Tribolium castaneum: one gene and its partners. The protein of the gene in region 1 interacts with the protein of each later gene in a pairwise test. Links are inferred from orthologs where the notes say so. Each region holds a gene or a part of one and is shown in the gene's direction. Other genes may lie near its edges. The genes, in order: shi, SH3PX1 and Su(dx).

The links.
Region 2: the proteins of shi (region 1) and SH3PX1 interact in a two-hybrid assay, tested with the Caenorhabditis elegans proteins (2 studies listed by BioGRID). The link is inferred for Tribolium castaneum from reciprocal best matches to the Caenorhabditis elegans genes dyn-1 and lst-4.
Region 3: the proteins of shi (region 1) and Su(dx) interact in binary tests that used the Caenorhabditis elegans proteins (3 or more experiments, as listed by UniProt). The link is inferred for Tribolium castaneum from reciprocal best matches to the Caenorhabditis elegans genes dyn-1 and wwp-1.

The regions. Positions count from the first base shown.
Region 1 is NC_087400.1:8,007,300-8,011,746, reverse strand, and holds the start of shi (dynamin), read left to right. Parts: upstream 1-1,595; 5' UTR 1,596-1,879; coding exon 1,880-2,043; intron 2,044-2,182; coding exon 2,183-2,256; intron 2,257-4,447.
Region 2 is NC_087402.1:7,277,766-7,280,592, forward strand, and holds the end of SH3PX1 (sorting nexin lst-4), read left to right. Parts: intron 1-905; coding exon 906-1,631; intron 1,632-1,676; coding exon 1,677-2,062; 3' UTR 2,063-2,302; downstream 2,303-2,827. Other genes in the region: CD151 antigen, read left to right, coding at 2,578-2,649. UniProt on the Caenorhabditis elegans protein: Involved in the signaling of vulval development by acting as a negative regulator of epidermal growth factor receptor (EGFR) signaling. Aids in phagosomal membrane tubule formation which is required for phagosomal fusion with endosomes and lysosomes.
Region 3 is NC_087398.1:5,360,663-5,364,904, reverse strand, and holds the start of Su(dx) (E3 ubiquitin-protein ligase Su(dx)), read left to right. Parts: upstream 1-1,422; 5' UTR 1,423-1,729; intron 1,730-1,808; 5' UTR 1,809-1,836; coding exon 1,837-1,891; intron 1,892-2,902; coding exon 2,903-4,214; intron 4,215-4,242. Other genes in the region: RNA-binding protein NOB1, read right to left, coding at 1-1,062, 1,111-1,185. UniProt on the Caenorhabditis elegans protein: E3 ubiquitin-protein ligase which accepts ubiquitin from an E2 ubiquitin-conjugating enzyme in the form of a thioester and then directly transfers the ubiquitin to targeted substrates. Ubiquitinates klf-1.

The DNA.
Region 1 (4,447 bases):
CTTGATGATAAATAGGAAAAAATTAATAACTTTTTTAACATTGTCATAACTACGGATATCTAAGGATTAGGATATGATACGACGTACAAATAAAACGTTCCCGTCCTTGATAGTTCCGTTAATGTCGTCAGAGAGCGCAGTTTTCAGTACAATGAATGAAACAAAACATAAACATAATACAATTTTTTTTCGAAAACTATGTTAAAAAATGCACCATATTTTTAACAGTTAAAAAGAAAGTTGTAGAGAATTAAATTTCCTACAAAAAAGCCTTATGTTCTATCCCAAACTCGTTTAAATACACCCAAACGACGGATTTATTTTATTTTCCCGGTAGTCAAGTACCAGATAGACTATTAAAACCAAAACCGTTAAAGATAGGAATATGGTCTCCGGACTTTTTTGAAGAAAATTTAATTCTTTATAATTTTATTCTTCACACTTTATTTGTATCTTCACCCGTATTTGCAGAGTTTGCAGGAATATGAGGTGGAACGCAGATTGAATTTTTTTATGTTTCTTATGAAAATTTTAAGCGCTCACATTTTTACTCAGCCGTACTATTTTTTTGTATTCAGAAAAACCGGCAAGTTTGTATCTCGTTTTGTTTCCTAAGTTACAGTCTTTCGTACAATACAAGGAGTCAACAGTGGGTTTTTTTCTGACATGTTCTAAGATGAAACCAAAAATACTAATTACACTTACCACCTGGAGACTATTTAATTTTTTAAAACATCAAATGTTTCAACATTGTTGAAACTAACTTGACAATACCCAAACAATGTAATCGCGGATTAATTTTAAATGTTTTGATGATTACCGATCTGGTCTGCTAGAATCATTGGTTGCATATTAAGAAAAATTAAAAAATAATCCAGTATTGACTCATCTTGTACGTTAAAAAATTAATTAAAAACATATTCAATACAATATAATAGTAATGTCACACATTTAACATTTCATTCGAAATACTTTTGTGGCATTTTCTTTTGCTGTAGCTAAACTGTATTTATAGCAAGAGCACATATGAGTAAGACATTAAAAATAATTCAAAAACAAAATTAAAAAAAGTCAATTATATCACGTCTGACTCCTCAACCGCAATTTATTAATTGTCCTAATGAAGAACTACCATGGAAATTACGAATAGAATCTAGTTAACTTTATAAAATGTCTTGTGTTTTGCAGCTTTGACCGGGTCAGGCGCGTAACCTTAAGCGAATAACCCTGTATATAGTTGGTACATTTTTGCGATGCATAAAAAAAGTAATTTTTGAAGAATTTTTGAGTGATTTTAAAGTGATTATGATTTGATTAAACCTAAGAATTTTTATTTTTGTACAAAAAAACATATCTCAAAAACTATCTTTCTTTGCTAGTTACAGTGAGTAGGCCATGGAAATTTGACATTTGATCACATTAGCCCAAAACACTGCGTATATTGCGTCATTTGATCAATATACACGATGTTTTCCCAAACTGTGCGACATAAAAAGAGTCTCTACGTTACATAATCGGGGATAAATCCCAATTCCCAGAATCCAAAATCCAAATAAATCGCTTATGCAACCAGCAAAACAGTTGTTGAGTGCGCATGCGCCGCTGTATTGATATCACTCCGAATTCAAAAATCCCATTTTATCAGCTTGAGTTTGACATTTATTCTTGAAAAAATCGTTCCCTTATCACTGTAATCACTGTTCTATCGCCCAATTCTCCCCGAAACGTGTAATTTTGTGATATATCTCGTCGTGAAGTGTAAATGGATGAGTCATGCGCGTTCAGTTATGATTCGGCCATGTTCCCAAGTGTATATTGTTAAAGTGTCGAAGTGAATTTAGTTGTTTTCGAGGGAAATTAGCACAGTTCCGGCCTAAAAATGGCAGGAAACTCCGGAATGGAGCAGCTTATTCCCATCGTGAATAAGCTGCAAGACGCTTTCACCCAGTTGGGGGTGCACATGAGCCTGGATCTGCCCCAAATCGCTGTTGTGGGCGGACAGTCGGCTGGAAAAAGCTCCGTTTTGGAGAATTTCGTCGGAAAGTGAGTAGAGCAGCCCCTTTCTGGGGGCGTGCATTGTTAATACGGGGGTGGGTTGACGTCACGTCGGTCTGTGGGGGTGTATTGATTTTTAAATAATTTTGATAACGAGTTGAATGACATTTGTTATCGTTTCTTGCAGAGACTTCCTTCCGAGAGGATCCGGGATTGTCACCAGAAGGCCCCTTATCCTACAATTGATTAACTCCAATTCGGGTGAGTTGGGGGGTTTAAAATGCCACGGTTGGCAGCCCTCAAAACAATTGACGGTGGCTCAGGAGACAATTGCTCCAAGTCTACGTCAGCTTATTTTTTAATTGATAATTTTATCAGTTGGCAATAACGTTGTCAAAAATCTTGTCTCAAATTAGTGCATTGTTTTGTTTTTGTCCGGTACAAGGTCGGTTGTAAAAGTTTTGGAACCGTACCAAACATTTATGGCCCAGGAAATTCGCAAATGACAAGTTAATCAGGCTTGGCCGTGACATACAGGGTGCAACCCAACTACTGCTACCAACCCAAATTATGGCAAAAAATTGTTGTACCAACTGTAATCCTCAAAAAGTCTTTAAGTTTCGTTTTAATTTCAAAAAACAGGCTAAGTGAAAAAAATAAAATTACTTCATTACGAAATAGTTGAACAAATGCACCTGTTATTAATTTATTTTTTCTGTTTTTTAAATTATGGACACAACCTTCAATTTATCTCACAATTGTTTTTAGCTTGTGACATGTTTTAAGTCATTTAGGCTTATGACAAATGCATTTCGTTTATCATTACCAACGTTGGTTTCGTTAGCTATGAAAATAATTGTTTTATAATTTTAAATCGCGGAAATGGCTTCTCGAAAGTACAAACACATTCCCCCAGTTTTTCGTTTATTTTTGCTCCAAAGCGGTAATAAAGCATGTGATTTATGACCGCTTTGAATTCCACTCGCCCTAAAAATGATTATCATCACTTTTTTAAACAATTCCGAATTTATTTTCTTTGTAAACAGAAAAAGGTGGGCTTGAAACGTTCCAAGTGAACAATTCTGCAAGTTCATTGGACCGTTTTGTTTGACTTGCTTTACAAGAATTCGATTTATTTTTAAGCGCATGTTTTAATGAAAAATTCGATAATCTTATCAAAATTTAATCACACATTTGAACCTTCCACAATATTTTTAAGATTTCGTGACCGATATCATGAGCTAAATTTTTACGATTAAACAATAAAACTGTTCTTTGTGGATTTGGAATGTGTGTCATTTTAAACGCACCTCAAGTAACAGTTAAATTTATAACAAATTGTGACGCACCAATTGGGTGAATCATGGGTAGCAGAAATTAAATGTTTAACAAGAAAGAGTAAAAGTTGGAAAGTTTATTCAAATTTAATTTAAAATGAAAAGTGTTCTCTAATGAACGTCGAGTGTTTTCAACCAGAAATTCATGTGATTATGTAGTGCGGAAGAGGAAAAAAATCATATTTGATTGCGGAAAAATTAAGTAATAAAATAAACAAATTCACTGACTTGTTATTTGCTCCATTTTTCAAAAATTATTCCAGGAAATGATGACTGATGAACACATCCCAAAAAAATTTTTTATACAGGGCGTGACGGTAAAGTTGATACAGTCTTGGTAATGAGGAAGTTTCCATTTTTTTCAAATTAACACCATTAATAGTCTCCATAATTGTAAAACTAATGGTACTTTTCATTTTTTTATATTCGCAAAAATAAAAAAGTTAAGAGACCTCAAAGTTCGAAATTTGACAGATTGTGCACTTTACTGGTCTCGCTAGGTGTAACGTCACGCGGCACAATTTTCCACAGCTGCCTACTGCCGCGTGTGGAAAATTCGATTTTTTGAGGGGCTGTATCTGGTTAAAATTAACATGTTTCCAAAATTATTTCGCTGTTCCTCAATTTTTTCCACTTAGCTATTGCACTCCTATATCTTTTATGAATGTTTAATGAACTATTAGCCCTAAATAAAATAAATAAAATTTAGAAATCTCACGTTATAAAACCGTTTGATATAAAAAAATGAGAACATTACAACTTTAAAAAAGAAGAAAATCGTAATTTCATATCTTTGAAAACTCTAGGTTTATAATTATAAACCACATCTACTTATTCATCGAACGTATCTTCAAGAGCATTGACAAATAAAGAAATTGTATTTCTGTTTATGCAAGAGTTGATATTCTTTAATAAGAAGTCGTTTGTTGAACACTTATTTTTTTACATATTTTTTGTACAAAACACTTTGCAAGCATTGTTTGTTCTAGAAATCATAAAAATGTTCATTTGTTAATATTTTTAATTTTTTTAAATTAAATAGTATTTTATTAATATAAATATTTCTCATTAATTAATATTTATTGTTTATAAGAAATTGTAGAAAGAAATCTGAA
Region 2 (2,827 bases), on another chromosome or scaffold:
TTTATTTTATTTCAATGAAATATTTTAAGGATATTCTAGTTTTGTTATTGTTATTAATTCATTTTAATAAGTCTCTGACTTTTTTCAAAATTTTTCTATAATTTCTTATAACCAAAATTATTTAATGAATTTATTAGCATAATAAATGTATGCACAAGAAAATATTTCTTATGTCATTCTGAAAAATACGATGCTTAAATGTTCTATTGTTCTAAAAGTATTTTAAAAAATGGCGCTAGAGATCAGTAATTGCTAACGTATCTGTTTGAGAAATTAATTTTATAAATTATTTATGTTGCGCCGACACGTTAAAAGATCGATTATTATTACCCGTATCTATTTTTCATAACTGAATTACAAATAAAAAGTCGTCAAATTTTGAGTTTTATAAATTAATTCGGGAAACCGACCCTAAATTAAATTAATAAAAAATAAACATTACATGACATTTAAGCATAAAAATTCTACGCTATCGTTTGCGTAAGTTTCGAGATATTTTGTTTTTTTAATATTGTTTATTACATTATATTTCGTATGTATTTGGTTTGTAATTCCTAGACCTGGATGAGATCTTGGTTACAATAAAAAAAATACAAACTATACCCAACTGAAAAAAGACGTCTTTCGTAACTACTTAAAAGTAAAAAAAATAATCGATTTTACAAATATTGACGAAGTCACAATACATTTTTTAAACAATGTTGGATTCCACTCCTTGTTTATTATCAACGAAACAATAGAAATAATTAATACTGATAAAATTTGAATTTAATATTTCGATCTTTACTCCCTTGATTGTTCCAATAAACAATCAATAAATGCTAATTAAATGAGATAATGCGTACAATCTGAAAAAAACAACAACCGGAGGCGCGCATCGCCCTCATCGATCAATCGCTTTTCAGGCACGTTAAAAGACATCCCATCCCACACAAAAATTCGAATATTTCGAGAAAACGACAACGTGTTCCGATGGGAACTGATCTCGGACCCGTACACGGTCCAAGTGACCTCACCAAAAAAAGCGTCAAAAATGGGCGGCCTCAAATCATTCATCGCATATCAATTAACACCATCGTTCACCGGAATCGAAGTATCCCGCCGTTACAAACACTTCGACTGGCTGCACGACCGCCTCTCCGAAAAGTTCAACATAATCGCAATTCCTCCGCTACCGGATAAACAGATTTCGGGCCGGTATGAGGAGCATTTCATCGAGCACCGGAGAGTGCAGCTGCAGGAGTTTGTCAATTACGTGTGTCGACATCCAGTTCTGTCGACTTGCGACGTTTGGAGGCATTTTCTCACCTGCACTAACGAAAAACAGTGGAAGGAAGGCAAGAGAAAAGCGGAGAAAGACCAGTTAGTCGGGGCGAACTTTTGCCTGTGCATCGAGGCCCCAGATAAGGACTTGTTAGCGTCGACTATTGAAAGTAAAATTGAGAGTAGCATATCGTACATTAACCAAATGGACCAGTGCATCAAGGGCTTGATGCAGACGGCGTCCGATCAGCAGAAAAAATGCGAGAATTTGTATAAAAGAGAACATACGAAAATTGGCGAGAGCTTTTTCCAGCTCGGGGTCGCGTTCGAGCACAGGGAAGGTGGATTGTTCTCGGATTTGGCCACAGGTACCTGCAGGTGATTGGAGACTTGGAATAATCTGGTTGTTTCAGATGTGAAGAAAATTGGGACCACTTATATTGAAATCGCCAAGTTGTGCGAAGATCAGGCGAAAATCGATTGGCAGCCGCTAACCGATAAGTTGTACCTCTACAGGGGGATCACGAGTTCGTACCCCGATATTTTCTCGATGCAAAAACACGCCGAACAAAAGAAGAAGGAGTGTGAAAGGAACACGCAGTTCTCACACCAGCAAATCACTGAAGTTAGGAAGCGCACCGATGTTCTGACTTACTCGGTTTTCGCCGAACTCGACCATTTCCAGGCTGAGATGAACACCGAATTTCGGTCAGCCATGCGGTCGTTTTTGCAAGAACAGGTCAACTATTACAAAAATGTAGTGAGCAGATTGGAAGACACCTTGAGGAAGTTTGAGTAGTTTTTCTTGCCTTGTTATCATCTATCGTGTTTATTTCCAAGCCAAAACAATTGTGATTTAACTTTTTATTATATAATCTGTTATATGTTTATCCTTACGTGCTGTGTATATTATGGAAATTCCAACGTTTACATTAATTTTTATTTAATAGAATCACCGAGACATATTTTGTACATGAAATGTAATTGTATATTTCTATATATTTTGTTAAGTCAGATGTAATAAATGTGCTTACACGAACGCTGGTTTTATTCTCCTCCCGAGACAAAAGATCATTACTCTCCGTCAATTGGAAATCGTGACCTTAAACCACTTAAGGCAAACGGAAAGGACGCTTCTGTAACATCAATAAAATCGACCGGCTTTGACCATATCAGGAATTAGAAATTGACCCGACGCTCATTCATGCTATTTCAAGCAGGATTAGCTATAAAATTTAACGACCCAAACAATCCTAAAAATAACCAAAATATTTTTCACAGATGGGGGCAGAAAGGCACTAAGCGGCCGTCGAAATGGGCAGCAGAGAGTGCTGCGGCTTGAACGTTGTCAAAAACGTGTTAAACTTCTTCAATATAATCTTCCTGGTAAGTGTGATAATGGTCGTTCAACTTTTCACAAAGTCACGCCCACGTTAGCTCCGTATTTGTCAATGAGTGCATTCTGCATTTTAATTATCAATTCGATGAGATTCTCACGGATCGTGGTCAGGAACAAGGCACTCCTTTGTGCTCTTCGATGGCCCTTATTACATAAGTACACCTA
Region 3 (4,242 bases), on another chromosome or scaffold:
TTGGGCCGACCTTGAGGTCACGTCCCTGACCGCAAAAGGCGAGAAGCCCGCGATGTAGTCATCGTCCAAAGGGTTTATCTTGGTTCTGGCCAATTTGCTCGCCCTGTTTTGGGGCATGGGGTGGTCCTCGGCCAGGATCGGGTTATTCGGGTGCTTCCCCCCTTTCATTCGCGGCAAACTGAACTTCTTGCCGCGCGCCGTTAGAGGGCGCTTTGCGTTGATGTGTATTTGGAGTTTGCCGTCTTCGTTAAGTGAGACCGCCACTTTTTTGAGCGTGTTGAGGCCACATTTGGGGCAAAATTTCTTCGTCATGATGCTCGTAGTCTTGAAGCAGGCGTAACAACGCAGGATGTAGGTCCGGAGTTGTTTGATCATGCGGCCGTCAAGGGCGGCCACATTGAGGTTCATCTGTTTGAGGACGTTTTGCATCGCGAAGTCGGTGGTCATGCAGGCGATCTTCACGTGTTTTTCCTCAATGAGCTGGGAGTTGACTTGTTTTTTGGCCTGGGAGACGTTGGAAGGGGTGATCCAGCCACTGTCGTCATCGTCATCTTCGTCGGAATTTGATCCAGAGATGTCGCTAGCGTCGTCAACTGGCACCAGAACGTCATGATCCTCGCTTGTTTCCTCGTCAGCGCATTCAATTGTTTCGAATTTTTGTTGCAATTTCTCAATTTCATCTGTTTCTTCATTTGTTTCTCCTGGTCTATCTTTTATTTTTGTGTGTCCTGGCAGGAAAAACCCTGTTACGTCAGGATGTAAATCGACAGTTGGCCCTGTGGTGGTCACAGTCCTCTGGAAGACGGGTTCAGTACGCAGGTGCTCCACCCCAACCGCTTCCTTCTCCAACTGATACGTAAGAGCCATAACTTGGATATCGGTGGCAGACAGACTTGGGTAATCCCCGGTTTTCTTTGCAAATTCTGTCACAATTTTGATATTTTCCGGAAAAACCTCCTTGACCTGAAGGTCATAAGGCAAAACCACCAAACGTTTGAGCTGTCTTTTGTTCAAAATTTCGTCAACGACACTTTGACATGTGACCATTTTCTCCGCAACGTCCTACAAGCGTAAGGTTATAAAGTGGTAATTACAGACGAGATCACGTACTTGTAATGGGGCGTTTTGGATAAAAGCAGTCGTATCGACAACCAAACACTCAATTTTCTTGTCTCCGGCCCCCATTTTGTTGACACACGTGGAAAAATGACACTTGGATGAGGATGACACTTGTTGCCAACAATACGACCAAAGACCCCAGTTTATTGCCAAAACGGGCTTATTTGTGTAAATAATGCCGTGGTAGGTTTGAGCAAGCCTCAAATTAGTTTACCGGGTCATAATAACACAAACAATTTGCGTAATCTCGCCCAAAATCGTGATCAATGAGTTATTTTACTTTGCTCCGGTTGGCGACATTGTGCGTATTGGAGAATGGAGTGTGTGCTTTACATGGAGGCCAATTTTCGGTCAGTTCGTAAATAACGAGTGTTTGTGTGTGAAAAAACGGTGTGGGGCCCCCGTGACTCTCGATTTGAGGTGTAAAGTGTCCGTCAATCGTGTGTGAAATAATTTGGCTGTTTTCTCTGACGTGTCGGTGATCACACTGTTATCACTTTTACGTCATTACTTGGCTACTCTGTCGGTGAAATTTCATGTTTTTATCAAAATTCAAGCGTTCTATTGTTAAGATTATCACCATTATCATAACGGAGTGAGGCCACCACAAGTAAGTTTTCGTTTCGGTTGTAATGTGTCAAGTTGATGTTTTTGGCCGAAATGCGGTCTCAGCTGATGCTTGGTTTTAGTTATCACCGTCTCGATGAGCAGTTCTAAATGATGGACCCTTCAGCCGATCAGGGGTCCGGCTTCCATCAGCTCGGCATCACAGGTATGTCCCCGAAATCTCCGATAAGGAGCGCAAATATTTGGGCAAAGTCTTAGAGACAACAGTTTCACCTGATTACACAACGTGTGTGGCAAGGTTTTGTTGTTATTTGTTTCTAATAGCGTTCGGCGGTATTGCTAATTGCACAATAGGTAGCTCCTAATTAATTTACTGGACCGATTTGTATTTGTTTATGTTTAGAAAGTGAAAAATGTTGCGATAGTCCGCTACGCCTCGATTATTCTAATTAGAATTAAGAATTGCAGGGGAACAAGTCGGCTATTACGAGAAAGTCGCATTAATTACAGTCTTCATAAATTATGGAACTTGGGATGGCACGTCCCAGAAACACGCGTCATAAAAAGTGTAATTTCCAACATTTAGGATCAATTTTATCGATCCGGCGACAGTTGTGACTAATCCTTTCGATGACAGGACAAAAGTGTCGACACATTTTTCAGGTGCAATTTCACGTGATAATATCACCTATTTGCTTCAAGGACACACAGAGTGGCCAAGTAACCAAATCACCACATTTGAGACTTGTCTCGCATTTTTAAGGCACCGTTTCCTGTTGTTGTTATTATTATGTGACCTACTAAGCATAATATTTTGGTTTTTATCGCGTGATTACCAGTCGTGACATCATTTTGCGACAAAAACTCGGGGGAAATATGAGCAAATTTAATAATCGTACTCATTGGTATTTTTTTATCTTTTATCGCGAGTTGTTTTGTTTGCTTTATTTTATTGTAGGTTTTCCCGAATAACGTGCTTCATTATCTTTAACACCATTATCTTTAAATGTTTGATTATTTTTCATCGAGCTTTGGATAAAAATAAAACAAAACTTTGAACTATTGTCTCCAACATTTTTGAGATTTTTATGTTGCTTGAAACATTCCGTGAAAAATGCAATCCATGTTGCATTTTTATTGGCAAGGTCGAAGTTTACAAACAACCGATAAGCTTTTTGTTATTAAATCGCTACAAAAATGCTATTTTATTTTTCAGTCGAGTGCGCCCACCTCCGTAACAGTTCCTTCATCAAGCCCTCCACGTACGTGGAAATCAGCGTGGACGGTGGCTCCCCCCGGAAGACCGAATGCGTGAAAAACACCGCTCAACCGAAATGGAACGAAACCTTCACCCTCCTCGTCACCCCCCACTCAAAAATAAACTTCGTCGTCTACGACAAGAACAATTTCCGCAAAGACACCCTCGTGGGCGAGAAAAAAGTCGAACTTTTCCAAATGTTGCAGCATTTCAGCGGCCGCTGCGAAAACCTTGAACTCACACTGGATCTCATGAACGAAAACAAGACCGAATCGCCGGCCAAAGTCGGCGAATTAATTTGCGTATTTCAAGGCTTGACCGTCGACATGTCCAAGTTTCACAAGCCGGGGCCGAGTGCGACCCCCCTCATGCAAAACAACTGCGAAGCGCAGAGCGTCTCCAATCGCAGCGTCTTCAACGGAATTCGGGCGAAAGTGCGCAATGTCGGAACGGAGAACGTCGTTCCGACGGCGTCGCGAGCCTCCACGGCCGAGAGGCGCACCTCGCGCACGGCGCTGTCGCCCACCACGCCCATGCCCAACGGCACCATCGGCCCCCCGGCCACGGTGCCCAACGGCAACGCCGTGCACAACAGCGACGGCGAGGACGGGAGGGCCGAGGAGCCGCTGCCCCCCGGCTGGGAGATGCGGTATGACACCTACGGCCGCCGCTACTACGTGGACCACAACACGCGCTCGACGTCGTGGGAGCGCCCCCAACCGTTGCCCCCCGGCTGGGAGATGCGGCGCGACCCCCGCGGGAGGGTCTACTACGTCGACCACAATTCGCGCACCACCACCTGGCAGAGGCCGAATTCGGAGCGGTTGGAGCACTTCCAGCAGTGGCAAGGCCAGAGACAGCACATTGTCCAACAAGGCAACCAAAGGTTTCTCTACCCGCAGTTTCAGCCTGGACCCATGCCTGGCACTTCAGTTGTGGATGATGAGGACGATGGTTTGGGGGCCTTGCCGCCCGGATGGGAGAAGCGAGTGCAACCGGAAGGACGAGTGTATTTCGTTAATCACAAAAATCGGACCACGCAATGGGAGGATCCGAGGACTCAAGGACGGGAGGTTATTGACGATATGCCGTTGCCTCCCGGATGGGAGATCAGGTATACGGACGAGGGGAAGCGATATTTTGTCGATCATAATACGAAGACTACAACGTTTGATGATCCCAGGCCGGGGGCGCCCAAAGGGCCCAAGGGGGTGTATGGGGTGCCGAGGGCGTACGAGAGGTCGTTCAAGTGGAAGATTAGCCAGTTTAGGTAATTGTTTGATAAAAATAAAATGCGA